Astyanax mexicanus: one gene and its partners. The protein of the gene in region 4 purifies or fractionates together with the protein of the main gene of each other region. This does not show direct contact. Links are inferred from orthologs where the notes say so. Each region holds a gene or a part of one and is shown on either strand. Other genes may lie near its edges.

What was found.
Region 1: the proteins of ccnf (region 4) and nusap1 purify together in Homo sapiens (affinity purification with mass spectrometry; 3 studies listed by BioGRID, with this or other methods). This does not show direct contact. The link is inferred for Astyanax mexicanus from reciprocal best matches to the Homo sapiens genes CCNF and NUSAP1.
Region 2: the proteins of ccnf (region 4) and ribonucleoside-diphosphate reductase subunit M2 purify together in Homo sapiens (affinity purification with western blotting; 5 studies listed by BioGRID and IntAct, with this or other methods). This does not show direct contact. The link is inferred for Astyanax mexicanus from reciprocal best matches to the Homo sapiens genes CCNF and RRM2.
Region 3: the proteins of ccnf (region 4) and cdc6 purify together in Homo sapiens (affinity purification with western blotting; 4 studies listed by BioGRID and IntAct, with this or other methods). This does not show direct contact. The link is inferred for Astyanax mexicanus from reciprocal best matches to the Homo sapiens genes CCNF and CDC6.

Annotation. Positions count from the first base shown.
Region 1 is NC_064414.1:7,790,256-7,797,741, forward strand, and holds the start of nusap1 (nucleolar and spindle-associated protein 1), read left to right. Parts: upstream 1-4,478; 5' UTR 4,479-4,624; coding exon 4,625-4,699; intron 4,700-5,875; coding exon 5,876-5,935; intron 5,936-6,266; coding exon 6,267-6,413; intron 6,414-6,509; coding exon 6,510-6,675; intron 6,676-7,184; coding exon 7,185-7,271; intron 7,272-7,486. Other genes in the region: oip5 (protein Mis18-beta), read right to left, coding at 914-1,072, 2,097-2,178, 2,282-2,404, 2,501-2,567, 4,074-4,296. UniProt on the Homo sapiens protein: Microtubule-associated protein with the capacity to bundle and stabilize microtubules. May associate with chromosomes and promote the organization of mitotic spindle microtubules around them.
Region 2 is NC_064408.1:76,113,374-76,121,494, reverse strand, and holds the start of ribonucleoside-diphosphate reductase subunit M2, read right to left. Parts: upstream 3,060-8,121; 5' UTR 3,041-3,059; intron 1,249-3,040; 5' UTR 1,240-1,248; coding exon 1,147-1,239; intron 916-1,146; coding exon 847-915; intron 1-846. UniProt on the Homo sapiens protein: Provides the precursors necessary for DNA synthesis. Catalyzes the biosynthesis of deoxyribonucleotides from the corresponding ribonucleotides. Inhibits Wnt signaling.
Region 3 is NC_064423.1:17,209,359-17,217,000, forward strand, and holds the start of cdc6 (cell division control protein 6 homolog), read right to left. Parts: upstream 3,047-7,642; 5' UTR 2,901-3,046; intron 946-2,900; 5' UTR 920-945; coding exon 580-919; intron 468-579; coding exon 207-467; intron 60-206; coding exon 1-59. Other genes in the region: wipf2a (WAS/WASL-interacting protein family member 2), read right to left, coding at 6,834-6,877. UniProt on the Homo sapiens protein: Involved in the initiation of DNA replication. Also participates in checkpoint controls that ensure DNA replication is completed before mitosis is initiated.
Region 4 is NC_064426.1:40,348,473-40,356,169, forward strand, and holds the start of ccnf (cyclin-F), read left to right. Parts: upstream 1-4,622; 5' UTR 4,623-4,817; coding exon 4,818-4,830; intron 4,831-7,462; coding exon 7,463-7,617; intron 7,618-7,697. UniProt on the Homo sapiens protein: Substrate recognition component of a SCF (SKP1-CUL1-F-box protein) E3 ubiquitin-protein ligase complex which mediates the ubiquitination and subsequent proteasomal degradation of target proteins.

The DNA of each region.
Region 1 (7,486 bases), on a different chromosome or scaffold from region 4:
TTTCACAGCCTCTGAAAGATGATCGCGGTCAGTTTTACTGAACGCGAGCTGCTGGTGGAGCAATGGAGACTTCAGAAGGGGAAACTCAGACCTTAGTAGCTTATTCATTTAGACTGACAAAACTGACAGCCGTATATAATAACTCTGACTGAGCAGGCTCTCTCTCTCTCTCTGACTGAACATAACCTGGAATCGGATTCATCTGCTCTCAAAGGAAAACGCATCACACCCACCCAGTTTAAAATGTTTCTTCTGCATGCTCGGTGCAGTTACCCATTCTCACCAGTGAGGGCCCTAAATCCCAAAAATTACAGACATCAGCTTTAAATAGATTTTTTTTTAATTAAAGCTGAGGAAGATGTTTGCCATTCTGATATATGTTTGCAGAAGCATATTAGAATATTAGAACCAGCACAAACCTTTGGAAATACATGACACAGTCAAAAAAAATGTACAGGCCACTGTTTTTAGAATTTATATATTAGACCTTACAGTGAAGGTCACAGAAGCACCTGTATGTCACTCATTAGAATACTTTGTTCATTTTCCACTAAGGAATACTTCTACTTTAAAATACGGTATATTTTTAAAAAATCCTAAGGATTGCTGCTTTAAGCAGTTTTAACACAGTTCACACAGTGCACAAATTCTGAAGAAATACTTTTATTAGTTTGCTTGTTTTTTTATATAGAAAGTTTGTTCTTGAAAAAATAAATACATACGTACATATTTAAACACATCCTCTACGCCGACATCTGAACACAGAATGTAACTGTTTATCAGTCATTTTTACAGAACGTTAACAAAAACAACAAACAAATTTGCAGTTCTACAAAAAATTGAGACAACTTTACAATTTCAGCTCCAACATCGACAACTCAGGGATGTAACTGTGAACAATAGAAAACATCGACTATTTGCTGCCGCTGGTTAGCAGTGCAGTGGAGCGAGAAGTGCTGGCACTGGCATTGGGCCGGACTCTCCTCTGGTCCACTCTAAGACTGCTCTTTTCTTCCAAAACTTCCTTCAACATTTCAACCTGCTTCAGCTGAGCTTGCAAATCCTGCTGCAGCTAGACGGTCCATCCGTATGGAAAAAAAAAAGTTATTTGTGATGAGAGTTTACATATATAACTGCATTCCAAGTTCTTAAAAAAATTAAAACAAAACTCAATGTTCCTCAATGTTTTTTCTTGAGATAGTTATGTTATAAAATTACTGATATCCTGCATTTATCTTATATTTTAGGACATTTACCATCAATGGCATTCCCATTTTTGCTGTTTTTCACTTTTTGATATAATGTACATCTACCAGTAGTTCTTTACTCTGTGTCAGAATTTCATGATGGATGGATCAATATAAAAGACTCAGAATAAAATCTTTTTACACTGACTTTTCACGTGTAAAGTTGCTACTTTGGAGATACACATTTTTGTGGGGTTCAGTGTCCACTCAAACACACAATGTTCATTGATCCAGTCTGCTTTTATCTTAATGTGTCTTTAATACTCTAATGTAAATGAGTTCTGTTTTTATTGGCTGCAGTTATTGCTCCTCAATCAGAAAGCAGCCCATTAAAAACATTACAACATAGTGTGAATGGGTTACATACATTAATATGTAAATGTGCTGGATTTTATAATGTCAAAAAACAATGGGCCTCATTCACAAACCATTCACATCTTCCTAAGAACTTCTTGAATATGTTGAATAAATATCCTAACAAAAAGTCTCAGTCATGTTCACAATATGCTTTTAAAAACTGCTGATTTATTCTTTACAGCGCTGCTCTTATAATAATGAATCCTACTGTGAATGAAAAAGAAAATCCCAAATAAGAAAAAAAGGTGACTGTCAGAATCTTGTTTGAAGCTGTGTAAATTAGATCTTAGAAATACTTTTTTTTCTAAGAAATAAGGCCCAATGAACCCAAGCTGATTTTGCTACTTATTTTCCCTACATATGGTCTGTCTGTTTTAAAGACATATTAATATTTTTATGTACTAAACTAAACAAAATTTTAGTAAAAAGTAAAGGAAAATTCTCCCTTTAAAGTAATGGTATATGAGACTGAGCCGACCATGCTACACTTACCTCAATGATGTTTTTTCTTATAGGTCTGGTTTCAAAGCTGACTTTGGTAGCTTTCACCACGGTGCACTTGCTTAGCATGTAACTGAACAGGTTAAAATAAGTAAATACAATTTTATTTTTTTTTTCCCCAACACTTGGACACCACATTGTACTTATTTAAAAGCCAAAACAAAAACACATCTCACCAATTTAGAACTTCTTTCCGCAAGAGAAAGAGATTTCGCAAGCTGGACCAATGTGTTGGAGTGGAGTGCAGGATGACACCCATGCTGCGATGACAAATACCGCATTCAAGGACTCTGTAAGTGCTTCGTGACAAATAAGAAAAAGAGGACTTTTATTACAAATTTTAAAATAATAAAAACTAAAAATATTTATGCCACATTAGGGGACAGCTTACTTACCAAAAAGCCAGAGGACCCTCTAGACATACCTCAAACTTCCCTCTGACTTTTACGTCCTGAGTGACTTCTGCATGAACACATTTAAAATATTATGTTCATATTGTGTAAAACGGGTTATTTGAAATAAAACACTCCGATTTAATATTTTAACACTATTCTATAAACCGATTGTTAATAGCAATCTTTAAAGCGCAATTCACAGGCTGTGCATGCAAGAAACACTTAAACATCACACAGAAGAAAGAATACTGCATGGAGGAGTAGAAAAAACAGTTGATGTCAGGTTATTCTTTATATGGTTGCTGGAAACGTAATTTAGGTGTCAAATGCGTCTTATCAAACTTATGCACACAGAAGAAAAATAAATGTTGTTTATTCTGGGTGACAAACAGCAGTGCTGATCTGCCCACACACATCCTTGCCTCTCTGTATCTGCTGACTTAAACACGTTGTTTTGTATTTCATTAATCGCGTGGTCTGCTGAGCCTCATGTTCCCACCTGCATTCACAGTTTAAACTGCAGAGCACTGTGGACAGAGGCAATGCACTGACAAGATGCAGAAGATTCAGTTATAGGTTGCCAGGTCTGTATAGTACACTCAGAGGGGGATTGGTAGTTGAATACAGAACCCTCACTGGGGGATTTCTGACAGTAGTCCTAAGGTCTGAAAAGACTCATGTGAGATCATTCAGGAGAGAAGTTGTTGTAATCATAAGGCTCTGTGTGGTCCAGCTGACTAAGGCGCCGTCACTATGATCTGGAGATTGCTGGTTAAAATGTAGTTTGCCATCAGCTACCGGAGCTCTTGCTCTCTCTGGGTGGGTAGATGACACTCTCTCCCCTCATGGTAGGGTGATGTCGATCAGCACAAGGCATCTGTAAGCCGATGTATCGCAAAGAAGTCGCTGCGCTGTCCTCTGAGCATGCTGGTTAATTGGCAATGCTGCATCAGATACAATGGATACAAGAGACCACTTAAAAATGGTGAGTTTCTTTGATTTTACCAAATTAAAAACCTCTGGAAAATAATCAAGAGGAAGATGGATCAAGAAGCCATCAAACCAAACTGAATTGCTTGAATTTTTGCACCAGGAGTAAAGGCATAAAGTTATCCAAAAGCAGTGTGTAAAACTGGTGGAGGAGAACATGCCAAGATGCATAAAACTGTGAAAGAAAAACAGGGTTATTACACAAAATATTGATTTCTGAACTCTTAAAACTTTATGAATATGAACTTGTTTTCTTTGCATCATTTCATGTCTGAAGGCTCTGCTCTTTTTTTTATTATTTCAGCCGTTTCTCATTTTCTAAATGTCTAAATGTCAATATTTTTATTTGGAATTTGGGAGAAATGTTGACTGTAGTTTATATAATAAAACAACAATGTTTATTTTACTCAAACATATACCTATAAATAGCTAAATTACAGTAACTGATTCAGAAACTGAAGTTGTCTCTTGTTTTTTTTTTCTAATGAAATGTTTTCTGACAATTTCTGACAATAAAAGCACTTCAATAACGCAGTTAACTTCTTTACAAATGTTTTATCTCACACTGAAAACAGAAACTTACTCAGGCAAATGATGGATTTGATACTCTTAGCCTCCCCACAGGCGGACAGGGAGTCAGCTATGACCGTGCTGCACTTGGCGCAGTGTAGAACACAGCACCGCTCATAGTCCACCGTGTGCTCCCCCGGCTCCTCCACAGCTCTCAGCTGCTCCACAACTACGCTGCTCTGGGTGCTATCGCAGTCATAGCTGTCCGTTAGGAAACTGGGCTTTCTGTGAGACATTTTCTACACTGGCGAGAATTTACACCGTGCTAAACAACCAAAACACACACAGCTCTCACTCTAACAAACAGTGTGATGATAGACTCCGCCCATGTTCAGGCTACGAACCAATCAGCGCTACAAACATGTTACCGTCTCCAGCGCTCCTAGCCAATCAGGAAACGAGGTGGCAAAATTTGAACTGTGGTTTTCAACCGACGCAGGCGCGTTCTCCCTTCAGTCACCCACCTAAAGAAACGCGTTTGGTTCGGTCTTGGACATACTGCGACCGTTTCTCTCTCTTTTTGTTTGTTTGTATCGTCTACATTGTCTAGATTTGGTCTTGGAGATGGATTTGGACTCCCTCAAATATGGAGACCTGCAGCAGCTCGCCAAAAGCGTTGGTTTGAAAGCTAACATGAAGGTGAGGCCGACATATATGTACGTTAACACTAATTTAGTTAGGGGCAGCTAGCTAACTGAGTTCGTTGTATAGCTTTCCGCTATAGGTTATTTCAGGTCCACCTTAACTGCTGCACGGCGTGGTCTGGCCCACATAAACATACAGTGTAGGTTAATGATGCTAACTGTGCACGTTTTAAGGTAGCAGGCTAGAATTCAAGGTTCAATTCAAGATTCATTAGCTTGCTAGTTAACCTATGTTTAAACTTATCTAACGTATTTAGCTAGGTTGGCTAATCTTTGTTTTTATATGGCTGTTCTAGTTATTAAAAATAAGTAGATTAAGCTATTTATTTAAGGCATATTTATAAGCGCAGACAATTGTTTCTGTGGCTGTGCGATATAAAAGCACTATTGCAATCAATACCAGGATATTTCACGGTGGTTTTGCGATAAATATATTATTGGCAGTATGTCAAAACACTGAAAAAATAATAAATACATTTAATTAAATTCAACAACCTACAGTCGTAACAAAGTACCTGTAAGTTATTATACGTAATACAAATATTATTGGTAGTATGTCAACACTGAATCTACTGCTGTAACAAAATAGATGTTACATGTTAAATTATTAATTACTGTAAGTATAAGGGTTTAAATTATTTAGTTGAAACAAATAGTATGTAAAAACAGTAACTTACCAAGACTTTTAATATAATAGTAGTTATTGTTATTGTTATTATTGTAGCAAAATATACTGCTTTCAAGAATTGTGACATTTATCACAAATGTTTGGTGATGATATTGTGTACCATATGATACGATATGGCACACCCCTAGTTGAGAATATTTAGTGCATGACTATACACTGCAAACGTAAGATTTAATGCTTCTAATACTCCCAAAGCTACAATGTCCCACTGCCACTGCTGATTTATTTATCCCCTTAATACCTTAAGCTAAATGTCTTATTATTCAGCATTAATTCTAATGTAAAATCTGTTGTGGTAGTATATATAAGGTTTATAAAATCTTGTAGTATTGCACAGGGTATTATTTTGGCTCCTAAAATGTATTTTTATCATGGCAGTTATTTAATAAAGAGAGTAAATCAGTGTGAGATTGCTCCTCTTTTTCCCTTCCCTTCCCTTCTCAGATAAATGGAACCAAACCTATCCATGTGTTTTTCTTTTAGGCTGAGAAGTTGCTGAAGGCCCTGAAGCAGCACTTTGAGCAACAAGAGAGCTCAGAGAATGTGAGTCCCCCAATTTCATTACACACCTTTTACAGCCTTTTAAGTTTGTGGTTTTTAGGTTTCAGGTGAAATACAGATATTTAAGCATTTTCCAGTTTGTCACCAGATTTTACCTGTGATATAATGTTCCTTTGGTAGACATGTCATGGAGAGTTTTAAATTCTCTTGGGTCTCCAAGTTTAAAAAAAAAAAAAAAAGTTTAATAAAATCATATATTTGATATTGCACATACTGCAATGCAATGTGACTCTTGTTTTATACAAATAAGTTCTTGTTTTAAAACATAAGTGTGGCTATAAATCTCATATTATAAATGCATTACATCCCTCAGGCAAATAATGTTGATGCTCAGGCAGAGGATGAGGTCAAGTCCTCAAATGTGACCAAGCGCCGCAGGAAGAGTGAAAGCATGAAGAGGAAGCATTCTGACCAGGGCAGTACAGACAATGAGCCCAAAGTGGAAGTGAGCCCAGCCCAGGTAAGTCATATCATTAACAACCTCGGTTATGTTAAAAAACAAACAGTTCATCGTGTTTAAAAAAAAAAATCACCAGAAACATTTAACCATTTTTAGGACAATGCTGAGCTTCATGATGCAGAGCAGGGCAGAAGAAGCTCAAAAAGGAGAAAAGTGTCTTCAACTAAGGGCACAGAGACTCCGGCTGTAGCTGAGGATCCCAAGGAGAGCAAAGCAGACGCAAAACCAAAGTCTGTTAATGTTACTCAGCAGGCTGCTCAAGGTATGCATTTGCCAGTACATTCATTCTAAACATCAAACTTTAATTATGCTGTCTACAGGTAACTCATTTTATATATCCACAGTCTTAACTCCATAGATAATAATTCATATGATTTTATTTGTTTGAATATTTTTGTTATTGTTGTATTATTTCATGAAAGTCATGTCAGTTTAATGTAAAAGGAAATTTACAATCAAACTCATATTTTGATAGTATGTAAAAGATGCGCTTAAGCTTAAAGAGCACTAGTTGAGAGTGAAGGATTTGGGAGCACAGATGCACTCAGTTTTTTGGCTGTGCTAACCGTTTTTGGAAATTATTGGAGGAAAACTGTAAAAAGAGGAATTTGGATTTGCATTTTCTTATGTGAAGAGTTGTTGTTGTTGTTAAATGTGTCTACTACTTTTCTTGAGTGCCTCCTATTTCCTGAATGACACACATACTGGATCTGCTGCTATAACATGTATGAATAGTTTGAATGCTTTTAAGGGTTGTTTTGTTTTCCACAGGTGTGGAAAAGAAGACTGCTGGCAGAATTCCTCGTCATGAGGGTCTGTTGAAGAAGACGAAGGCACCTCTGAGACCGACCACTCCTAGTAAAGTTTAATTTTCTGTCTGTTAGGGTTGGGCAGTATGATGGCATTTATTATTGGGGTAAATTGTAATTGTATGACTTCGGGAATTCAGAAAAACTGCATGTTTTATTGCAGTAAGTGCTTAATTAGACTAATTTAGTTAATTGCACTTGTGCAGGGCTGTATATTATGCTATGGGGCAATTTTAATTATAATTTCACTTAATATCCATCTTT
Region 2 (8,121 bases), on a different chromosome or scaffold from region 4:
ATCATTTAAAACCACACAACAGCTTGCAGTTTACAGCCATCTAGCTACAGATCATCTGTATAGTCATACAATCAGAACTATTTGGAAAGTCTCCAAATCAGGTACTTCAGAGCCAGAACCACTTGCATGCACTAAAAGTTGTATAACCAAATAATTCAAGGTAAAAGTTACACTTAGTCACAGATAAAACTACTTTAATATATATTTGAGCAAATGTATCAAACACCTCTTAACTAACAAAGCAAATAGCTAGTTACTGATTAAGTTGCTCTGCTACCATCATCAAAAACTGATGCTTGTTAATTTAAATGAAAAACCGAACTAAAAAAAGGTTTGAGAAAGGCCACTCTTTGACTTACTAACCTACCATAGATGACTAGAAAGGTAAAATTATGGTAGTCACGCTATGGAATTAACACTAACTTAGAAGGTAATGATGGTGTTAAAAAGGCGATGTCTTCAGTACTTTTTTTTTTAAATAACGTGTGGTTTGGCTGAACAAAGTAAAAAAAGAGGACTGCCTGAACAGGTTTACACAATAGGCTAACTAAGCTAACTAGCGGGTTAGCTTTCTGCCGCCAAAGGACGTCGTCAGCTGTTTGGCGGGGGTGATGAGGAGGGGGAGGTTAGCCTTGCTGGAGCTTTTGTTAAAACAGTTTTTGTGCAAATGAAACTAACTATAAATCAGCGGTGCACAACAAGATAATTATTTTAAACCTTTAACCAACAAGTGAATTGTGTAATATTGCTGCTGGGTCACAATACACACAGAAGCTAGTTAACTGTAGGTTAACTGTTGCGTGCTAGCGTTAGCTAAAAATGCCTCAGGTTGGAAAGTTTACTCACCTCAGAGTCATCGAAGATTTTACGCGCCGTTTTGGAAGCCAGGATTCTGGTCGTGTTCAGACTTGGTGGCTATAGAGCAAAGACAGGTAACTTATATTAGATTAAAATTAACTGCATTAGTTGATATTTACTGCATCAATAACAGGTCTTTTAGAACACTCTAACTGTACGCACACACACAGCCCGGTGTATCCCCAGCGTGCCATTAACAAAAATATTAACACATGAACTGAAAACATAAAAAAAAGGGGGAAAAAAATAAATAAATAGTATTAGCTCAATAATTAAACCCGTTCTTACCGTGTTCTCTTTGTCAACCAGCCCCATGGAGCCCATTTTAGCAGAAACAGCGTTTTCATGCTTGGATTTGAGAGGAGAGCGAGTGGACAGCATTGTGTAGTTCTGAGATAAAAAAAAGGGGGGGAAAAGAAGAAAACGTTGTTCTAGCAGTAAAATAAGGAAAACTAAAAACGTAAAAAGTGATCTAAGTAAAATAAAAGCAGAGACTAAGCAAGCGACAGCCTAAAGCGCAGAGAAGAAACTAAAATGAGGAGAGTCTCTCGCTGCTCCCTTTTTATTCAGTTCTTGGCGCTCGATCCGGCTCAGCCAATAGGAGCAGAGCTCCCGGAGGTCATTTAATTTTTTTTGTTGTCACCAGCCAATCAGCAGCGGAGGCGTCAGCTGCAGATCGCGGGAACTTTCAAACGCGCCGGGTGTGTGTTCCTTTTCACAAACACGGCAGTAAAATTTGATTGTGTAAAAAAGGCGCGCTTTCGGATAAAAAATATAACCTTAATATAACCTTAAACTGACATTAAACGCGCTCACATCGACAAATAAACACATATAAATACGCTAGAAATTTATAATGCAACACCATAACCTAGCTTACATCTTAACGCTACATATATATGTATTTTAAAAATCATGCTGCAACTCCCTGTCATTGTTCTACGCGAAAAGCGCATTATAGGTTAAATATCTAAACTATCCAGTTTATCTACCGATCAGTAATAAACACACGTGTGCAAAACAGCATATAGTTAATAGCATTTCGTAAACGTACTTATTTATACGTTTTACAACGTGGATGCGGAAGTAAAAGTATGGCTGTATAAACACAGGAAGAATCACACACTGGGTTATGGACTTAAGTTACTTAATACATAAATAGAGACATGTATGCACCTTAAACATAACTTAACATAACATTTGGGGAAATCTGTGTTTTATTTTGTGTTTTAATCTTGGTACACGTTTAAAACCCCCACATAAGGAAGTTCACTGTACGGATGTAGTTAGTTAGCTGGGTTATAACAAGCGGACGAATCACGCTCACTGGGTTATGAAATAATATAGACACACATAAATCAGCAGCTAGAGAGACATGCACCTTAAATATACAGAGTTACATTTTTAATCGTAAATGTGCTTATACGTTAAAAAAAAAACGTAAAGGAAATCCAAGTATGGATGCAGGCTATAAATGTAGGTCACACATACACTGGGTTATGAAGTGATATAGTACTAAATATATATAACAAAAACGATCAGTAGCTGCAGACATGCACTGTAATCATAAATGAGGGGAAATAGGATAATTCAGTGTATTGTCTTTTTTTTATAAATTGCTTTTCTTATGTGATGACAAAACATTCCTGGTTCGCGAATTCCCGCCAGATTGGTAAGAAAAACATAATACAGCAGATCTAACACAACACACAGTACTGATTAGAACAGTTCAGTGAAAACAGGTTAACTCGCTATTTATTAACTCTTAGTGTTTAGTAGTTGCCGGACTAAGTTATTTACGCGAGATAAGATAGAAATGTCCGAAGAATAATAATGTTATTTGGCGCGGACGCGAAGCTAGCCTTCCTGCAGTAGCTAGTTTAACCTAATTATAGAGCGTTTATAAAATGTGATTCTGCGCTGTCACTGTACATTAAAGCCGCACTATTGAACAGAAGAGTTTTAATCTTTATAGTGTTACAGGAGCTGGCCCTATATTTAAAAAAAACAAGATAAAACAAGCCAACGACTACACAACTACCCTGAGCTAAGCTTTAGCCGGGTTAGCTAAAGCCCGCGATTCACCAACACAGAGCCACTGCTCCTGTTTACAAGTTAACACAGCGCCACTGACAACCTTACACAACAGTCACAGCGGAGACACTCATTGAGCTGAAGGTACCGTAGCTACACGATTTCTTCATAAATCCCCTAAAAACACACATTCTTTGTTTAATCCAAACATCACCACAGCTGTTCCCCAGCCCAGCAACACAAACAAAAGGATAAAGTGCGCTGTGTACCGAGTACCGCCCTCTGCAGGGAGGAGGTTTCACACGCAGCAGAGCAAAAAAGAGCCAAACAGAGGAAGAGTTACACATGAAGTTGTGTTTAAACAGGTGTGGAGAGTACACTAACCCTTACACTGAAAAATACAGCTCTGGAAAAGTAAGAGACCACATCGGTTTCTCTGATATTGCTATTTATTTATAGGTATATATTTGAATTATTTTTTTTTTCTAAAAACTACAGACAAAAGTTCCCAAATCCCAAATAAAAATGGAGCATTTATTTACAGAAAATGAGAAATGGCTGAAATAACAAAAATATGCAGATCTTTCAGACCTCAAATAATGCAAAGAAAACAAGTTCAGAAATCAATATTTGGCAGAATAACCCTTTTTTTTTTTTTTTTTTTTTCAGTTTTCTTGCATCTTGGCCTGTTCTCCAACACCAGTCCTACACACTGCTTTTAGACAACTTTGTGCCACTCTTGGTAGAAAAAATTCAAGCAGTTCAGTTTGGTTTGATGACTTGTGCTCATCCATCTTACTCTTGATTATATTCCAGAGGTTTTCAATTTGGTAAAATCAAAGAAGCTCATCATTAATAAGTGGTCTCTTAAAATTTTCCAGAGCTGTATTTTGATGTGTAATGCCACCTCAGTAAAATAATGTCTCGACTGTATGTGGAATTCAAGCAAAAAAAGAGTAAAACCACAAAATCAGCTGGTCAAAACTACAAGTACTGAGACAACAAACTGAACTGCAGTAGTATCAGAAAAATATTCGTACTAAAATAAAGAACTAGAGACCCAGACTTAGGTAACACTACAAGTTCTATATCAAAAAACAGACTTGAGTATAAATGTTCTTTAAGCTCCACACTTAAGTAGAAGTACTAAAGTAATTTTTGCAAGTAGTTAAAAGTACAGTACTGTGTTATGTAATTCTTACAGAAAGCTGTGAACTTTGCTAAGCGAAAAGCAGAACGGGAGAAGCACAGTCTTTGAATAAGATTTCCTTGATTGCTTGATACCCAGTAACATTACCATCTACCCCTGTAGCTTTAGTGATAGTGTGGGTTTGGAACAATTTGTAACATTTTTAGAACTGTAACGAGTAACAGTGCAGCACATAAAAATGTATCAGAGTAAAAGTATTAAAGTCTCTCTGAGTAAAACTAGCATATGTTAGCATATGATCATCTCTTCCTGGGATCAGTTGCTTTAAATAAAATCTCAAGAAACCTAGAGAGATGGGGTCAGACACAAAGCAGCAAATATTTAGAGAGCATGCAACAGTGAAAATAGTAGTTTATGTACCACACACATTTCTGTGTGTAGAAATAAATTTATTATGCTTTGAAAAAATACAGTCTTTTAACTTGAATTGTAAAAATGTTCAGGGCCCACTTCTGGTAATTTATTAGTATTAAAAGCAAAAAGACTTTTTTATTTTAGAGCTTAAGATCATTCTATTTAGAAAAGATGATTGCTGTATCGGAAATATAAAATAATGAGAACAACAACTACAGTCTAGCAAAATCACAGTGAAATTTACAGTAACTGCTTTTCCAGGGCTGGGCACTACCGAAAAAATTTCATATTTTAATATTTTAAAGACACCACATGTTAAGATGTCTATAAGGGTGTTAATAGCCGATTTGTTCTCTTCACTTCAGTAAGAACATATACTCTTTTAAGAAGGCTTTATGTTAGATTTTTTGGTTGTAAGGATCTGATTGCATTTAGCCATAGAACATCCTTAAGGTCAGATTTGTATGTCACTTTTGTTGAATCATTAACACATCTACTCATTCCATCTCAGTAAATAAAAAAAATAATACAATATGAATACCCTCAACTCACAAATAAACAGTTTTGTTCTTATACCCATTCAATCTTATATTAATCTTGTTTAGTTTATATTGCTCTATACCTTGAAGAGGGAAACATTTGCAGACCATGTGTTGTTTAAACCAAATAGATAGATAGATAGATAGATAGATAGATAGATAGATAGATAGATAGATAGATAGATAGATAGATAGATAGATAGATAGATAGATAGATAGATAGATAGATAGATAGATAGATAGATAGATAGATAGATAGATAGATACTTTATTGATCCCCGAGGGGAAATTCTTGACATCCAGCAGCAGGTGTGTATAGTACACAAAGTTACAAAAAGATAAAAAAATATATAAATGATACATATAAATACAACAAAATAAAAAATAAAATGAAATTATAAAAGTACAGTCTTTAGTGTGTGTGTGTGATGTAAAATGGAGGTAGTGCAGTTGAACACAATAGACAGCGAACACCAGTTGATGTGCATAAAGTAAGTATAAGGATAACTGATGTCCGCCATACAGAAAGTGCAAACACAGTTATATAATAATTTAAATTTAGCAGTGCAAAAGATACGTAAACAGTAGATGAATGAACTAGTGAATGAACTACTAGTGCAAAATAGGGTAGAACTATAAAAATAGTGTTATGGGCATCAGCAAGATAGTGTGACCATAGATGGGGGTATGTCCATGGTGTGGCCAGAATTGCTGGAAAGAAAAGGTGTCACAGAGTCTTCAGTTTGCTGTGCTGAGAGGAGTTGAACAGTCTTATGGCCTGAGGGACAAAAGACTTTCGAAGTCTGTCTGTGGAGCAGGACTGGGACAGCAGTCTGCCGCTGAATGAGCTCCTCTGCCTGGTGATGGTGCTGTGCAGAGGGTGGTGAACATTGTCCATGATGTTCAGCAGCTTGCTGAGGGCTCTCCTCTCTGCCAGTGGTGTTAAGGACTCCAACTCTAGTCCCAACACAGAACCAGCTTTCCTCACCAGCCTGTTCAGTCGTCCAGCATCCCTCTTGCTGATGCTGCCTCCCCAACACACAACAGTGTAAAAGAGGACGCTGGCTACCACAGACTGGTAGAACATCAGCAGGAGTTTCTGGCAGATGTTAAAGGACCCAAGCCTTCTGAGGAAGTACAGTCTGCTCTGGGCCTTCCTGTAGAGGGAGTCAGTGTTCACTGACCAGTCCAGCCTATCGTCCAGGTGCACACCAAGGTATCTGTAGGACTTGACCACTTCCACATTGACCCCCTCGATGGAGATTGGCTGCTGAGCAGAGGGCCTGGACCTTAGCAGTAGTTCTTAACATTTTTCATAATAACAAGTACATAATGATCAAGACACTCCTACTAAGTGACTTTTGCTGCTGTAAAATACACATACACTTGTGCATTCTCCATAGAATAGATTTGCTGGTGGAATAAGAATGGTGTAAAGGCACATTTAACTACTGGAACCAGCTGAGGGATAAAATTCCCTTTAGAAAACTAGAGTCAATACTTGGCTTCACCACTGCTCTAATCAAGTCCTCACATCAGTGTTCCAACAACTATTGGCTTAACAGAAGATTAGCGGGCACATACTGAACAGTTGTTCAGTTGCATGTGTAGTGATGTTGAAGAGGTGTTGTGCACATGTGTAGTAGAGGTGCAGTAACAGCAGGGGGCGCGCGTCGCTGTGACTTTAGATGAGGCCTGTTAGAATAGCCCAGTCCGACTTGTTTTTCCCCTCAGTATGTGTTTTTTTTCTCAGAGGACAGTGATGGAATTACGTATAATGTGCTAATCTAGTCTAATCTAGAGACTGAAGTGATAACACCACTGCTTCTGTCTCGGAAACGAGTCTGCTAGTGTAAACAGCATAGCGAAGCGTGCGGTCTCTGTAGTGTGTAGATGTAAAGCCACTGATCTTTATTATGCACGGTTTTGTATAACCCCTGCTCTCAGAAAAGAAACATTGTGGGTAGGTACAAAACGTTGACTTTGCATGTAATCGAGATTTTTTACATGTTTATGCTAAATGTTTTGACTGTCAGGGGCTGCAATATTTATAATTTTAGTGTTTAGCTAAAAATAAAAATAAATGTATATGTATTTATTATTTGTATTTTTTTTTTTTATTAAAAAAAAAGATAAATATTTTTATTAGTACATATTTTTAAATTATTAAATAAAACGAGCTGACACCGTTGTTTGGTATTGGTATTGTTCGGGTCCCAGTTTAATCCCAAATGGCTTTCATTTCATATTTTAGCTTTTTATTTTTATCTATTTATTATAACTATTTAAAAACTGCGTATATAGATTTTTTGGGTGTAGCGCTAAGCAGCTAAAACATGAAACCTACGTCAGTTATTTTTCCCCTCATCTGGCGGTTTCATCTTTACGCAAATTTTCCTTCATCGTGTGAGAATATCGGTCAGTAAGGCAGCTGGGCGGGTTCAAAATCCACCAATCAGTTAATGCACCACGGCCCCAGGTCGCTCCTGATTGGTCGCGCCCCCTAACCGCTCCACAACGGCGTGATGTGATTGGACGAGGTTTGTTACTGGGTGTTATGGGGAGATTGCGCTGAGCGAGTGTTGTGTAACTGTATCCAGCAAAGCTCAGTGTAGGATTGCATAATGAACTTATTGTTTTGCGCTTCTTTCTGGGTGCCTTTCTTAACAAAATTCACATTACATATTTTCTAGGCTAACTACGTCATGAAGTGATGTTTCTGTCACAATTTTTACCTATTTTTGTGGAAATTTACATGGCAAAAATAGGTTGTAGAACAAATTCTTGGTAGCATATTGCTATATGTTGTCAACTATAATTTATTTTCCTCAAATGAAACAGACACCACATCATAAGCATGATGGTTTATTTGAATCTTCAAATGTTCATTATTAAATAATATTCAAAGGAAGATAGGTAGTATCACAGGTAGGAATACTGTTCACTTTACAGAGACATTTATTCATATATTGTCAATAAATGCATGTTTGAATACACATTACATTCATATAGATAGTTATAATTTATGTACAAATATACAACGGTTTAGAATAAGTAATATGAACTGACACAAAGACTTTGGCAAAGGAAGTGCATACAGTTTGGGAGACATAACTTATACAAAAG
Region 3 (7,642 bases), on a different chromosome or scaffold from region 4:
GAGCAGTCGTTCAGGCACAGCTGTGTGCAGAGACTGCTTCACACTCTGGTAGTGTGACTCTAAAAGTTGAGGAAAAACACACATAAAAAGACAAGATATTAGATTAGTCATATCACCCTTCAAAAGCCCAGCAACCATTACAGAATCAAATGTTTATCTAATATACACCTATGCATCTAGCAAACACCACAACAAACAGAACTCACTTTGTTCAGCAAAAAGCTGAGAGACTGCAGCTTTAGCTGGTGACCCTAAATCAGCACAGACGGTCTGCAAACGTTTGGGAGAAGCAGCAGAAAGACGCGAGAGGGGGATTTTAGAAGGTGACTGGGTAGAACGAGGAGGAGAGCCGAAGACTGGAGCATTCTCATTGAAGGAAAGTTTGCGGGGGGAGCCCAAAGAGGGGCGCCTCTGTTTAGGAGGAGAACACTGCAGAGACGCTGGCAGGTTGCATCCGTTCTCATCGCCTGCAAAAAGACCATAATAAAACATTAATATGTGTTACCTTTTAACAAACATACACAGAACATTCACACAGAAATGTACAAAAACATTCTGAATTAAAGTTAAAATTAATACCTGTGCGTTTGCGGGGGCTCAGGGGAAGTCTCTCAGCCAAAGAGCTGGTTTTGAGCACTGGGTTTCTGGGTGAGAGGGGGAAGGTTTGGACATCAGCACTGGTCTTTCTGGGAGAGAGAGCGATGGTATGGAGGTCTGCCAGGTTTGTCTTTCTGGGAGAAAGTGGGATTGTTCGGACATCCACCAAGTGTGGCTTTCTGGGAGACAAAGGAAGGTCTCGAACTGCATTCTCAGTATCAGGCAGAGACGAACGCTTGGAGCTGGACTTTTGGATTACCCTGGAAGACTTGCGTTTGGGGAACTGGAGGGTTGGCTGACTCTGGGAACGAGTGCTAGGCATTTTCGTAACAGGACCAGTTTGCAGCTCTAAGTGGGGGAGGAAAAGGAAAGGGGAGGTATTGTTAGGTAGATGTTAAGCCAGTGTATGGGGTGACACTAAGTTGAGAAAAGCCATTTTTAATTCAGAACTGTGCTATTTATCACAGTTTATTCAGGACATTTTGCTACCACTAACATGTTAATTTAGCTAGCTTAAAAGTTGTTCACAGCAGTGCATTACTAAGGTGAAATTTAGCTTTTTTAATACAAAAAGTGACCTAAACTAAAATAAGCTTTGGGGTGAGTTAACCAAGCTAGCTTTTGTCATCTATAGTAGACTGTAGGCTAACTAGCTAGCTAATATTGCATCACTGCCACCTCAATAAGATAGCTAGAGTTTAAAAACCTTTTCATTGCAGAGACAAACGTTTTAAAAAATTAAGACAACTTCAGTTTCTGAATCAGTTTCTGATTTAGCTATTTATAGGAATATGCTAAATGAACATTTATTGTTTTGTTCTATAAACTACAAACAATATTTCTCCCAAATTCCAAATAAAAATATTGTCACTTAGAGCATTTATTTGCAGAAAATGAAAAATGGCTGAAATAACAAAAAAGACAAAGCTGACCTCTAATAATGCAAATAAAACAAGTTTATATTCATAAGGTTTTAAGAGTTTAGAAATCAATATGTGGCGGAATAACTAGTAAAATCAAAGAAACTCATTAAGTGGTTTTATTTTTTTCCAGAGCTGTATATCATGAGGAAAACTACAAAAATACTTAAAGAAAAATAAACAGGGGAAAATGCAGTAAGACATATGCATTTTAAAATTAAGTTCCTGACAGTAGTCCTTGCACAAACCTAGTGTAACACATTTTTCTCAAAACATCAAGGGGGAAACTAAAAAAAAATACATAAGGTAAAAATACAGTAAATAAAAAATACATTTAAAGTTAATTAAGTTACAGACAGTAGTTCTTTAGCAGGACGACCTTTTTAAGATATTAGTAATAACTTAAACGTAGAATTATACCAAAATGTGACTTCTTACTACAGTTAGCTTTGGGGTGGGTTAGCCAGGCTAGCTTCTGTTGTCTACAGTTGGTTATATTGCAAGTTAGCTAAGCTAAGTAGCTAACCAACATTGCTGCACTGCCACCTAAAAACTCGCTAGGGTTAGATTTTTTAACATTTTTTATTTTCATTGAAGACATCCCCAAACATAGGGCAATACATTATTCTCAAAAATACATAGTAGTTAGCTAACTAAAAAATAATAAGTTAAAAATAAAATATACGTTTGAGAAAAAGATAGTAAAGGAAAAATGGGGGAGGGGGTCAAAGAGGTACACATTTACAGTAAATCAGGAAATGTTATTTTAAAATATTAATACACTGCTTTTTGCATTTAAGACCTTATTTTTTTGTACAAGCGTGAAAGATTAGAGAAAGTTAGCGCCAACAGATAACACTACAGCATGGGGGGGGGGGGGGGGGTAGCTAGGTAGAATTATTATACTTGTGTTGCTAACTTATTAGTTCGTTAATCAAGCCTAGCTGCATTTTCATTTGTTATTTTTTTAGGTTTTTCGCAGATCAGTGGCTGGCTTGCAAGTTGTTAGTTAGCTAGCAAACATATTATAGACAAATAGCTAACGCTAGTTTAACTAGCTTAACCCAGATCCGCCACTAAACATAGTTAAAACACCTACACCCACACATATGTCTGCCTAAAAAAAAACAATCGACATGTGAATATTAATATCTAATGATTTCTAGGTTAAATAAGACATTATTAAAGCGATTCTAACTTAAAAAGCCCCCTGATTCACAGCTGAATGGTTAGTAAACTAGGTTTCCTACTTGGCGCCAAGTTCTCCCCACCTCAAGCAACCCACAACTAAGCATTAAAACGCTGCGTTTAAACGCCATTTCTGATAAACTGCTCTTCACTACATTAAATATCAGTAACACTGCGAGTAAATCTTAGTCTTACCTGTATAAAATGTTTAATAATCTTCTGTTTTTCCTCAGGAAGTCTCTCACCCGCAGCTCCACTGTCAGCAGTCTCTCCTCTGGCGCGCTTCAGCTAATCGGGGTCTTTTAGGATCAGCTGGAACCTCCCACCACCCTATGACAGCGTCTACGCACTGCAACCCTATTGGTTGGCTTAGTGCCAAAGCCCGCGAACAGCCAATCAAATCGCTCAATCGCCACCGTCTACTGGAGCCTGAACACTGTTGGCGGGTGTTTTCATTGTTGACACTTTCGCGGATTTTTTTTTCCCGGGAAATCTTCGTTACATCCGTAACATTAAGAACTGAGTGTAATATATTTAGTATGCTCTGCTGCTGAAGTAACATCCACGCGAATTTCTGCTAAAAAAAACGTATAATCCTTTACTTTTCGCTTTAGAAAACGTGTATTTATTCACAATAGTCGTGTAACAAATCTTCTGTCCACAGGCGCAAACTGTTTAGCCACCAAATGAGACAAAAAGACCAAGGAGACAAAAAATTAAAGATTAAAAAGAATAATAATTCTGGCCAGAATCGATTTAAGTAGTTTACATTCATAGTCTACATTTCCAAATAAGCCATTATAGTCAATACAATGGAAACACAGTTTCGATAGATTGATAGATTGATTTTATAAATTCACAAAGGCAGTACTGCATTTGTAACAATATCCACGTAAAGTTAGCGTTGCAGTGATTTTATAATCATCTGAACTAATGTAAACTGGAGGCTGGTGTGGTAGATCAGAGTATGTAGGTGGGTGTCTTACAAGCTGTTGAGCCCCCAATATGCTCTTCGGCCGCCTTTCCCCTTTGTTGTGGTTATTTAGAAGGGGGGTTGTGTGTGTCTTTTGTTCACATGTGGTAAATTGTTAAATCACCTTTTAAATGTGTGCACTACCCCGTCAATTGTGCACTATTAATATTAATATATGTATAGTACCCGATAGTATTAGTGTGACGTAAGTTACTGAATATGTAACTCACAGTACTGTAGTTACTACCCACCTCCTATATCCAATAGTATCTCCCGTGCTATCAGAAAATGACTGCAAACCGCTAGAGGGTACCCGGGAGTCCTTAATGAATTGGGGTTAATGGAGCTAAACGGCAAAGTGTAATTTTGGACAGATGAATGAAGAATTTTCCTTTTCATTTCCTACATTAAGCGTTTTGTAGGCAGTGTAGATGCTAACATTTCTGCTATTGTGAGCTAATGCTGGACATGTTAAAGAGCCACTAAACCCTAAACTATATTTTTCTATTAATGTAATATAATTCCATTAATTTAAACTGAGGGTGGAGTAGAAATCAGGGGATTTAGTGCCCCTTTAATCACCTTGTTTACCAGTTTGTTTACCAAAGTTACATACAATTGCAACACAATGGAGACATGGAGAAAAAAAGGTTCTTGCAACAGTTTAAGATAGAAAAACAACATCTCTTTAAATAATATATTTATATAATTTAATAATGAAAAAAAATATTACAGTGCAGAATTGTGCTGTTTTCAGTTTATCCAGGACTTAATCCCAAACTAATTCTTCTTAAAAAAAAAAAAACGAAACCCGAAACATTATCACTATTGTTAAAGTTAGCACTGAGTTATGATCACTTAAACAAGCAATGCATCTCAATTAATAATAACTACCTTTTGAGTATTAGAATATATATATATATATATATATATATATATATATATATATATATATATATATATATATATATATATAAAATACTCAATAGATAAGTGTCAACATTGAATATTCTCAAATATGCAAGATCCTGTACATACATAGAATCAGTTACATTTTAAGTAAACTACTCCTACTATTACTACTACTACTACTAATAATAATAATAATAAGTGAATCAAATGAAACCACACATACTTCCCATAACCTTTATTTTCAAATTCAACACAATAGCCAGTCTACTGTTACAAACTGCTCATTTTGGCAGCTTAGAACTGTTTACCAAAGTCACATAAAATTGCAACAGGCCAAGAAGGAGACAAAAGAGGTTCTTGCAACAGTCCAAGAAGAAAACCCACCTCTGGCCACTTAGAGGCTACATACGGATAAACGCTCTCCGGAAAAAGACCAGATAGGAAATGGTCTCCTCATAATAAACGTTTTACTGTTATAGAGGTTTAATTCTCTGTATTACAAAACTTTACAATAAAAATCTTTAACTACATTTTATATAGTGTAATATACATTATTACAATTCATTTTCTTAATTATTACACTAGTGTTTTATTTAACAAAAAGAAAAGGAAAAAAAGAAAGAAAAAAAAACATTGGTACCAGTTAAATCTGTGAATGACATCTTTCTTCCAGAGAAATTCATAAGGTTTTAATTAATAATAAAGGAATATGATGCTGATTTTACAGCACATGTTGCACCATGAGCAGACCCTCAAAAATGTCAGGGCCTACTGCATACACTGTGTGCTGAGTGGCACTTAGGATATTTGGTCAGTACTAAAGAAGAGTGGTTAGGAATCAGGTAAGTTTAACACATACAAATCAAGGTATCAGATTTCCCTTCTTTACAGACAAAATTCAAATGCATTGCAACGTATTTGCCGCTCACAGCAGGAAAGGCAAAGGAATGGCTGCTCCACGTTCCTGTACTAAACAACACTCAGATTGTTCAGAGATGAAATCCAAATGGAATGAACGATTCTATCAAAAGACACAGGGCTAAAAATAAACAATAACATTTACTATATAGCCCCTACTATTGGCAAAATAATCACAAAAAATAAAATCACACAATCTTCCCTAATATACTTGACACATTAGCTCTCATTTGGGAGGAACAGTCTATGATACAGTAACAAAGAATTACTTTATGATTCTAAGGCGCAAAAACATGAAACAAAACAAACAAAAAAAAAACTTTCCGCATAATGTAATGATTGTCTACTTAATTAATTAATTAATTATTTTTTCTTTTCACTCTGATAGAGATAGATTGGCATAAAACAAGTGCTTGGTCCATTAGTTGATGCCCATCTCTGGCAAAGATTGTGCAGCTGTCACATTAGAAGGAATGCATATATAGAGAATAGTTCTCTTGGGTCATCTAGAGGCACAATACAATATAGGCTTCACGCTTTATCAAACTGCATAGTGTTTTATGGTCTGGAGGTATTTGTTAGGAACCAGTCGGAGCAGAAACAGGGTTGATTTCTCAGACGTGATTCAGCAATGAGAATTCACCAAATTTGTTTCATCAGTGAAAAATAATCTTGCTTAGTGTATTGTGGTCTTAGCTTATTCTGGAAAAGCAACCCATGTTGTGGTCACGGGATCATAAGTAATCTAGTTTCCCTATTTGGTCTATTTGGTCAGATATAAATGTTGGGCACCCCTGGCATTTTTTTAAATGCATAGTTAATATTAAATTACATTACTATTGCCATTATATAAGTTTATTTTGTTATTTGTATTATATTATTATTATTTATTACTATAACAAATATGATGTGTAAGACCTATTAATTTTCTTCATCTGATTATAAATTAATTATTCAGATCAAGACAGATATTTTTGTTGAGGTAAACTGCAGTGTGCATTCTCTCAAAACAATGTGCTATATAAGAACACACTTCTGTTTTATGTCTATTTTACCACATATTGTGTAGGGCACACGCTTAGTGTGAACTGTGTTATTTGAACACATCTGAATGCACAGCTAGTGTTAAATCGTTAAATCGGATAGCATACCGATTCAGAAAAGTCTTTATCTGGATACACAGGTGTGTTCAAACAGTAGCATGCCATGTGTTGTTTTTAACACATTTATTTTGAGAGTGTACAGGTAGGTGTATTAGTGTGCTGATGTGAATGTGTGGAGTTGGGTTCAAATTTCATAGTCGTTCCTCACTTCCTGAGTGTATTTCACCTTGCAACAGGTGGCAGTGGAGGAGCTCCTCTCATCACAGCTACAGTAAGACAGACAGAAGGGAAATGACATTAATAAAAACTGACACAATCAAATATGTTTAGCACACATTCAACACACCCAGATCTGCTCTCTTTTTTTGACTTGGAAGAGTGGTGCTGAACTACACAAAAAAACTAACTGCAGCTGTAGGCTACAAGACCAGTGTTTAAACATTATCCAGATTATGTTTGATAGTCACTAGCAGTCCCTGTTTTTCATTCTTTATGCATAATTCAAAGGATAAGCTGTAAACAAAGTAATTCAGGGTAAATTGGGGTGAAATGGTTAATTGTGGAGAAACACGCAAAATCTGATACACCCTGACAGTGAAGGTGATAAAAACCTCCTGTCCTATATATGTTGTCTGCAAAGCTAATGTAGTTTTTAAGTAACATCAATGATGGAAAAATGATTTTATAAACATTTAATTATGACTGAAATATTGAATATTTTTAGTGAAAACATTTGGCCAGAAGGGCCCAGACTTTCAAAACTATTTCAGGTTCAGTTCAGTTTCCTTCTTCTGGACCAAGCTAGGAAATGAACTCATGGTCTGCTTTGTGTGCACAGCACTGTGGTCATAATGAGAAAACATCTTCTCTATGTCTTTCCACTAGGAAATGCTCTTGGGCAGACAGATACCTGGCTGCTAGTGGAAGCAGACTAAAATAAATATACTTCAGTTCAAGTAAACTGCATAGAAAAAACTTAAAAACTAGACCCTGGACCCCTAAATCTGGCTTATTAAATCATGTCTTGATAT
Region 4 (7,697 bases):
ATATCCTAATGAAGTTTCTAATAATTATGACCATGATATCTCATAATTGTGATTTAGTGATGATGTGAATTGTGATTATGACTTAATATTGTATAATTATGACGTATTATCTCATAATAATGACTACCACAAATATGAGTTACAATCTCATAATTCTGAGTTACTGTATCATAATATTGGCATACTTTCTTATAATTACAACTTACTATTTTATAATAATGACGTAATGGCTGATAATAAATACTTGCTATCACATATTAATCACTAGGTATCTAATAATCATAACTTACTACCACACAATTTTATTTTGATTTACTATGTCATAAATATGACTTACTATCTTATAATTGTAACTTACTATATGTCATAATTATTTACATAACAATGACTTACTATATCATAATGAATTAGTTTCTAATAATTATAACTTACTATAACTTACTATTATTATGATTATAACTTATCTCATTATTATTACTAACTCATTAAAACAACTTAATTCTAACCTAATATCTTAAAATAATGCCTTAAAATCTTAAAATAATGCCTTAATAATGACTGAGTACCTAATAATTATGACTTAATATCTTATAATAATGACTTGGTCTTTCATAATAATGACTTACTACCACAAATATGACAAATATGACTGTGTCATAATAATAGCATACTTTCTAATAATATATCCCATCATAATGGGATATTATCCTGATTATGACTTACTCATAATCTCATAATAATGACTGAGGACCTAATAATTATGACTTAATATCTTATAATAATGGCAAAAGAATGTGTCACTGTTTAAATATGTGTCACGCATGCACTGTATTATATTAATGCCTCTGGTTAAATTGAATAAATGTGAATGTAAAGGATCGGAGAACAGTAATGAAAGTGTAATTTCTGTACGAGACGGACACCCTTTACTGCCATGCTGTTTCTGGTTGCCATGGAAACGCTTGAGCAGTGCCTTCAATCCTAATTTGGCATGTCTTGTCCACACAAACACACACACACACACACACACACTCACGGTCCTAGTAAATACGGGTCATTTGGTCGGGATGCTGAGAACCCTGATTGGAATCGCACTGCCTCTAATTACATGCTGCTTTTGTGTAGCACCTGGAAACAGAGGCAGCACTTCCTGATGGATCGGTTCTGTTCTCCCGGGCTTTAATTCACTGACCCGGCCTCGCGGGCACAGCATGAAAGGAAATCAATCCTCTAATCAATTTTTTTAAATGGCTGTTGGGCTTTTGAGACACAGTTGGTGTTAATGCAGTTTTCACATGGGGTTCATACTGAAAATCTGACCTGATGTCATATTTCTGATCCAGGGATTTTATGGCATTATTACAGAGCATTAGTGTTGAACAACAGTACGGGGTCTCACTGTCCTGTTTTTTTCTGTTTTAAAATCACCTGCATATTACACATCTCTTTTAGGAAGTGAGCATGGCTTCAACAGGCCAGTATAGTATCTGTACCCCCTTCTTTAATGGCCACGCTTTTGTAAGAATGTGTGCAGCATGTGGTTTTACATTGTTGATCTCAATGCACTTTTCTGCATTAAAAAATAAGAGACCACTTCAGTTTCTGAATCAGTTTCTCTGATTTTGCTATTTATAGGTTTATGTTTGAGTCAAATGAACATTGTTGTTTTATTCTATAAACTACAGACAACATTTCTCCCAAATTCCAAATATAAATATTGTCATTTAGAGCATTTATTTGCAGAAAATGAGAAATGACAAGAAACCAGTTCATATTCATAAAGTTTTAAGAGTTCAGAAATCAATATTTGGTGGAATAACCCTGGTTTTTAATCACAGGTTTTTTCATGCATCTTGGCATCATGTTGTCCTCCACCAGTCTTACACACTGCTTTTGGATAACTTTATGCTGATTTACTCCTGGTGCAAAAAATTCAAGCAGTTCAGTTTGGTGGTTTGATGGCTTGTGATCATCCATCTTCCTCTTGATTATATTCCAGAGGTTTTTAATTTGGTAAAATCAAAGAAACTCATCATTTTTAAGTGCTCTCTTATTTTTTCCGGAGCTGTATTATACTTTTTTTTAATTATTAGTTATAATAGGTTAGAACAGGTCTATGCTCTATACAAAACACGATCATGAAGTTCTTTGCACAAAATCACTCTCACATAAAGATAAAGAGATCTCACCAGCTTTATTCTTACCAGTTTCAGTCCCTTTTAGAATGAGCCATGTTTACGCTGATTGTTTACCACACATTATAGTTAGCTTGTGCTAAACAGCAAAACATGGGACCTATTTTAATGATCTATAGCGCATAGTGATCTATAGGACGTGTTTGTGTGTCTTTGGTATCGTGAGGGCACAAAAAATACGCCTTTCGTGGTTCGAAACTGTCAAAAGGCATGAACAAATTCTCTTAATTAATCATGGGTGGGTTTTGGGCGTAATGTGAAATAGACCAATCAGTGTGTCAGTTGTCATTCCCATTAAGAGGCAGGTGAGCTCTGACTTTGGCGTGTTCGTATCTTATCAGAGGATACTGACCTGCGTGTTCACAGGTCATTAATTGACTGTTGTCAGGGTTTAATCAGTCAGTGGAGCTCCTTTTCCACCTCCAAGATAGAAACGGTGTGGGCACAGCGGACGGTAGGTTCAGATCCCTCCCTCAGACCGAAATTGTGTTTCTTTAACTGATCTAGTGAGTGGGTAGATCGGTGAGGGGTGGAGCCAGGGTGGTTCTATGCTGGTTTCATTATTGTGACGTCAGCCACCCAAACAGCTCATAGAAGCAAATGATTCCTGACCCAAACTCTTTCAGCTGATTCACAGAAAACGAATGGCTGGATTTTTTTGGTGATTGGAGTGTTTATAGTGTTTATAGGGGCTGTTGTGACCCAAATGAAAATATAAAAGCATGCAAAAAGTAAATTTTACATAATATGCTGCTTCATCCATACAATGACAGATACTAGCATCTGGATGGTATCAATTTCTAAAAATAAAAATAAAAATAAATAAATACTGATTAATCTGAACAAACACACGTTTATGCACTGAAAAATCTCCCAATTCTTTAAATGGTTTAATGATATTATATTATGGGCTGCAAAGGGAGAAATGTGCAGTTTGCTGGCGGTGCATTTGTGAAAGTGAGCCGTCAGCAGTTTTTGATTGTCTTGCTAAAAGTCACACTGTCTGAAACCGAGGGGACAACTTCCTGTGGTGGGTTGTGGTAAACTGAGTGGAGGGTTCCAGATTACAGTGCACAGTCCATACATATGTTATATAGTTTAAGACTTAGTCAAACATCATATATTATAGATTCATATAAGACTGTAAAGGTTAATTTAATTGATATTGTCATATGTAAAGTTAACTATACAGCATTGTATACTGAAACTATCAGCAATAATTAACACAAGATCGCTTAACACGTAACATTTGTTTCATTAGTACTCATGCTGAATTCCATTTTAATTCAGATCTGGAAATTCCAAGTTCCCAGGAGGGAATTTTAGCTGGAATTCTTCACCCATGTCAGATTTCCTACTCAGACCAAATGAAATGACTGGATACACAGTAATATAGAAGTTGAATAAAACAAGAAGAACCAATTCAACTCAGGATTTCATGATTTGATTTTAACTCATGCATTCAATGTTAGCCAAATTCCACCCAAACTGGAAAAAAAGAATGAGTATAATTATTATTGTTATTTATATTATATTTGCTGCACTTTAATGAATTTAACATGTTAAAGCTCACTTTTAAGGCTTTAGTATATTTACCATTAAATCAGCTCATATAGTACCAGTCGAAAATTTAGACACATATTCTTGTTCAACCTTTTTTTGTATTGCTGTATTTAATTTATTAAAGTTGGAGCATAGAGTAAAGAAAAAGCAGTTATAAAGAGGCAGCATCTCTAGAACAGTTGGAAGTTTCCATTCCAGGTTCTACCTCATAAAACTAACTGATAGAATCAGCCAAGAGTGGACAAAGTTGGCATCAAAGCAAAAGGTCCAATCTTATCTTAAAGATTTTAATCTATAATCTATAATATTTAATATTAAACATATTTTGGTGTGTTTTGACTTTTTTGTTCATTTCATAACTGCATATCGTCACTGTCCAATGCAAAACAAATATCTCCAAAACAGCAACGTCTAAACTTTCATTGGATGTCAATGTAAAAATATTGTTTTCCATTTTAAAGTATTTCTATTGGTCCATTCATCAAGAATGGATCAATAGATGTAATCTAATCTAAACTATCCATCGTGTTTCAGGCTCTATAATATCCTGATTACTATTTAAAATCTATATTCAACACACTTTTACAACTTTTTTTAAACTTCAAATGTAAATCCCGCCCAAAAATATACCTTTAAATGTATCGACCAATAGCAACAACATGGGAAACGCGCAATTCGAAATAGCATCCGTCTGTCCAATCAGAGGAGCGGATTTCAGTATTCGAGGCATACACCAATTGTACGCCGACTTGTGCGTCTGCGCAAATCGGCGGGGCGGGGTTTTGAGGGGCGGGCCCGGATTGTAGCCTATGAGCTCCCGAGGTTGATGTTTAAACCTTTGCGCATGGGCGGGGCTAAGTGCCTGGGGCAGGATCTGAGGCTCAGGCGGTGTGCTTAAAATTAATCAACAGCCCAGCACTGGGGTTAGCGGCTCCCTGTAGCTTATACTGTTTAATATATTTATAAATATATTTATATATATTCAGAATTTAACTGAAAATTGTGTATAATTCACTAGTTTCGGGGACTAGTTACCAACAGGGCTCATCTTCTACTGAAATGAAAGCGGGCGGTAAGTGATTCAGATGAGTTTATCTGAGTTATGTTGATACAGTTAGCTTAGGTTAGCTAGCGTTAGCACTGATTCAGCTCCAATGCCTAGTGTTATTTAGTCAAACTGCCTATTTATGTATTTGTTTATATTTTCAAAAACATATTTCTGTTAATGTGGGTTGCTGATAACTCTGTTTAAGGTCTGATTTTGTTTAGCTAACATTATATTGTAGGTTACAGATAACATACAAGTAACCTAGGTTAGGTAGTTAACGTTAACTAGCTAGCTAAGGACTCAAAACTCAAACAGAAACAGCCAAGAATATAAAAATAATGACTTTAAATAAAGCTTTAGCTTACTCAAATCTTTTAAAACAATATACTAATCAATATAATCGCAAATATAGTTAACCTACTAGTTATAGCTTCTCAACCAGGAAGCTAAGCTATAGGTTAACCTTACGTTAGCTGTTGGTGGTTTAAATAAGTAAATATATCCCACATCATATAAAGACTTTTACTTGTATGAAATTTTCTTAAAATCTATCGAAATCTAATACTATAACCAAATTAAATTAATCATTTTAAATATAATGATTGCTAATGCTTCACAACTCTTTAGCCCTAGTTTTTAAGGAGGGACTTTTCAAATGATGTAAGCTAACTATAGCTTAGCTAGCTAACTAAGTTATAGCTGCCGCTGGTTCATATAATTACAGGCTGTATAAATGTGTTTTAAGTAGTTAAATCATATGATTTTCTTATTATTAAAGTGGGCTAAGGAATACTAAGTTAATTATGCAGCTTCATAGCTAAGTAAGTTAGCTATAACTGTTGTTGGTTTATCCAGGCTAAGTGACTATGTTTAAATATGTGGCTAAATATCTCTCATCATATGAAAATTCGGTTAAGTAGATGAGCATTTTAAGTGATATAAAGATAGTTAGCTAATGCTTTAAAACACTGTAGCCCTAGTTTTTTGTAAGGATGGACTTTTCAAATGATCTAAGCAACAGTTTGTTAGTTAACCTAGCTAACTTAGCTAGCTAAGGACCCAAAACCCAGCCAGGAACTTCCAAATAATACCAATAATTACCATTTTAAATATAACTTGAGCTAACTCAAATGTTTTTTAACAATATAACCTACTAGAATATGTAGTTATTAGTTATATCTTCGTATGGCTAGGGAGATGTAATTAACAGGCTATGTGACTGTGTGACTTTAAGAAGCTGAACTAAATAACGTTATATCTTGCATAATATTAAAGCTTCTAAGCAACATTTTATGAAATAACCCCAAGTAGGGTATTTGTTAGTTTAGCTGTCATTGAGTCTCCTTTAGAATTCATAACCAGCTGATTATTTTAAATATAATAATAAGTAATACTTTAAAACTCTTAAGCCCTAGATTTTAAGGAGGGAACTAAGTAGCTTAGCTTGCTAGCTATCTAGGAGAGCCAGTTATAGCTCACTAAAGCTGTTGGTATCTTACTAAATACAGGCAGTGTAAATGTGTTTTAAGTCGTTAAGTCATATGCTTTTCTTATTGTTAAAATATAATAATGTATAATAGTTTTTTTTAAGTAGCTTCATAGCTAGTTAACTACTTTCATATATTTATATGAAATAAACAAGAGTATTTCTTAGTTTAGCTATGGAGTCGCTCCAGAATTTATAAATAGCTACTAATTTTTAATATAATAACTAATGCTTTAAAAGTCTCTAGGCCTTGTTTTTAAGGAGGGACTTTTCATATGACTTCCGATTATATAACTTAGTTAAACTAACTAACAAACACTTTTCACACATACAGGCTAGCTATCTAGAACTATAACTGGTGGTTCATCCAGTTGGTAACTATGATTTGTGTTAGTTATCATCCATCATCATTGCTAAATTTTCTTCGTTATCAATAAAGTAACATTATCTGTATATCTGTCTGTCCATGATGCTAGGGCAAAACTAACACTCTGGATTTCATGTTAATGCTATTTCCCTACACTTCTATTATGTGTTTTATTTTGTATATTCATCTTGATATATATATATTTTGCTCTTATTTTACTTTCATTCTATTATATATTTATTTTGTTAAAAATAGTTTTTTGGGTGGAACTGGATTGTAAGATTACAATTTCGTTCCACCTTATTTACCACATGTGATGTGAGTGACAAAGTTTCCTTGAATGCCTGTAAATCATAGGAGTTCTTTATTGTGACGTCTATTAGGAAGTACTTACAACGTATAAAAACTTGTATTAATTACATTACATTTGGCAGATGCTTTTTTCCAAAAGCGACTTACAGTAGTGAAGTACAAAAGTAATAGATGTTAAAAACATCTTTATATAGGGCCTAAAGGAGGTCAAAGGGAGATAATGGGATAGAGGAGTGAAGGAAGGGAAGTAGTTAAAAGTAGTTAGTTTGTTAATCAAACCTTGCTAACTTGGCTATCATGAAGTCTCTTCAGAAACTTTTTTTTTTTTTTTTTTTAACAGAAGGACTTTTTCTAGTTAGGGAACTAATGTCATATCAAGCTATTACTGCTGATGGTTTACTATGGCAAAACTATTTCAGTTGTATGTAAAAAAAATCTTAATATATGTTTATTAATGTCTAAATCTAATTTTTCTCATTTTTAATTTCCAGTGCTTCACTGTCGGTGCTCTAAATGTTATTCTCTGCCTGCGAGGAAACGGGTCCGAAAGCAGACCCGCTCCCTGACCCTGCTGTCCCTTCCTGAGGAGGTTCTGCTGTATGTTCTGCAGTCCCTCTCCGCCGAGGATCTGCTGGCTGTCCGAGCTGTGAGTGGAGACATGAAGCGAAACAAAGCAAAACTGGTGTTTTAAGGAGGCACAATATGGGCAATATTAATCAGCTTTTT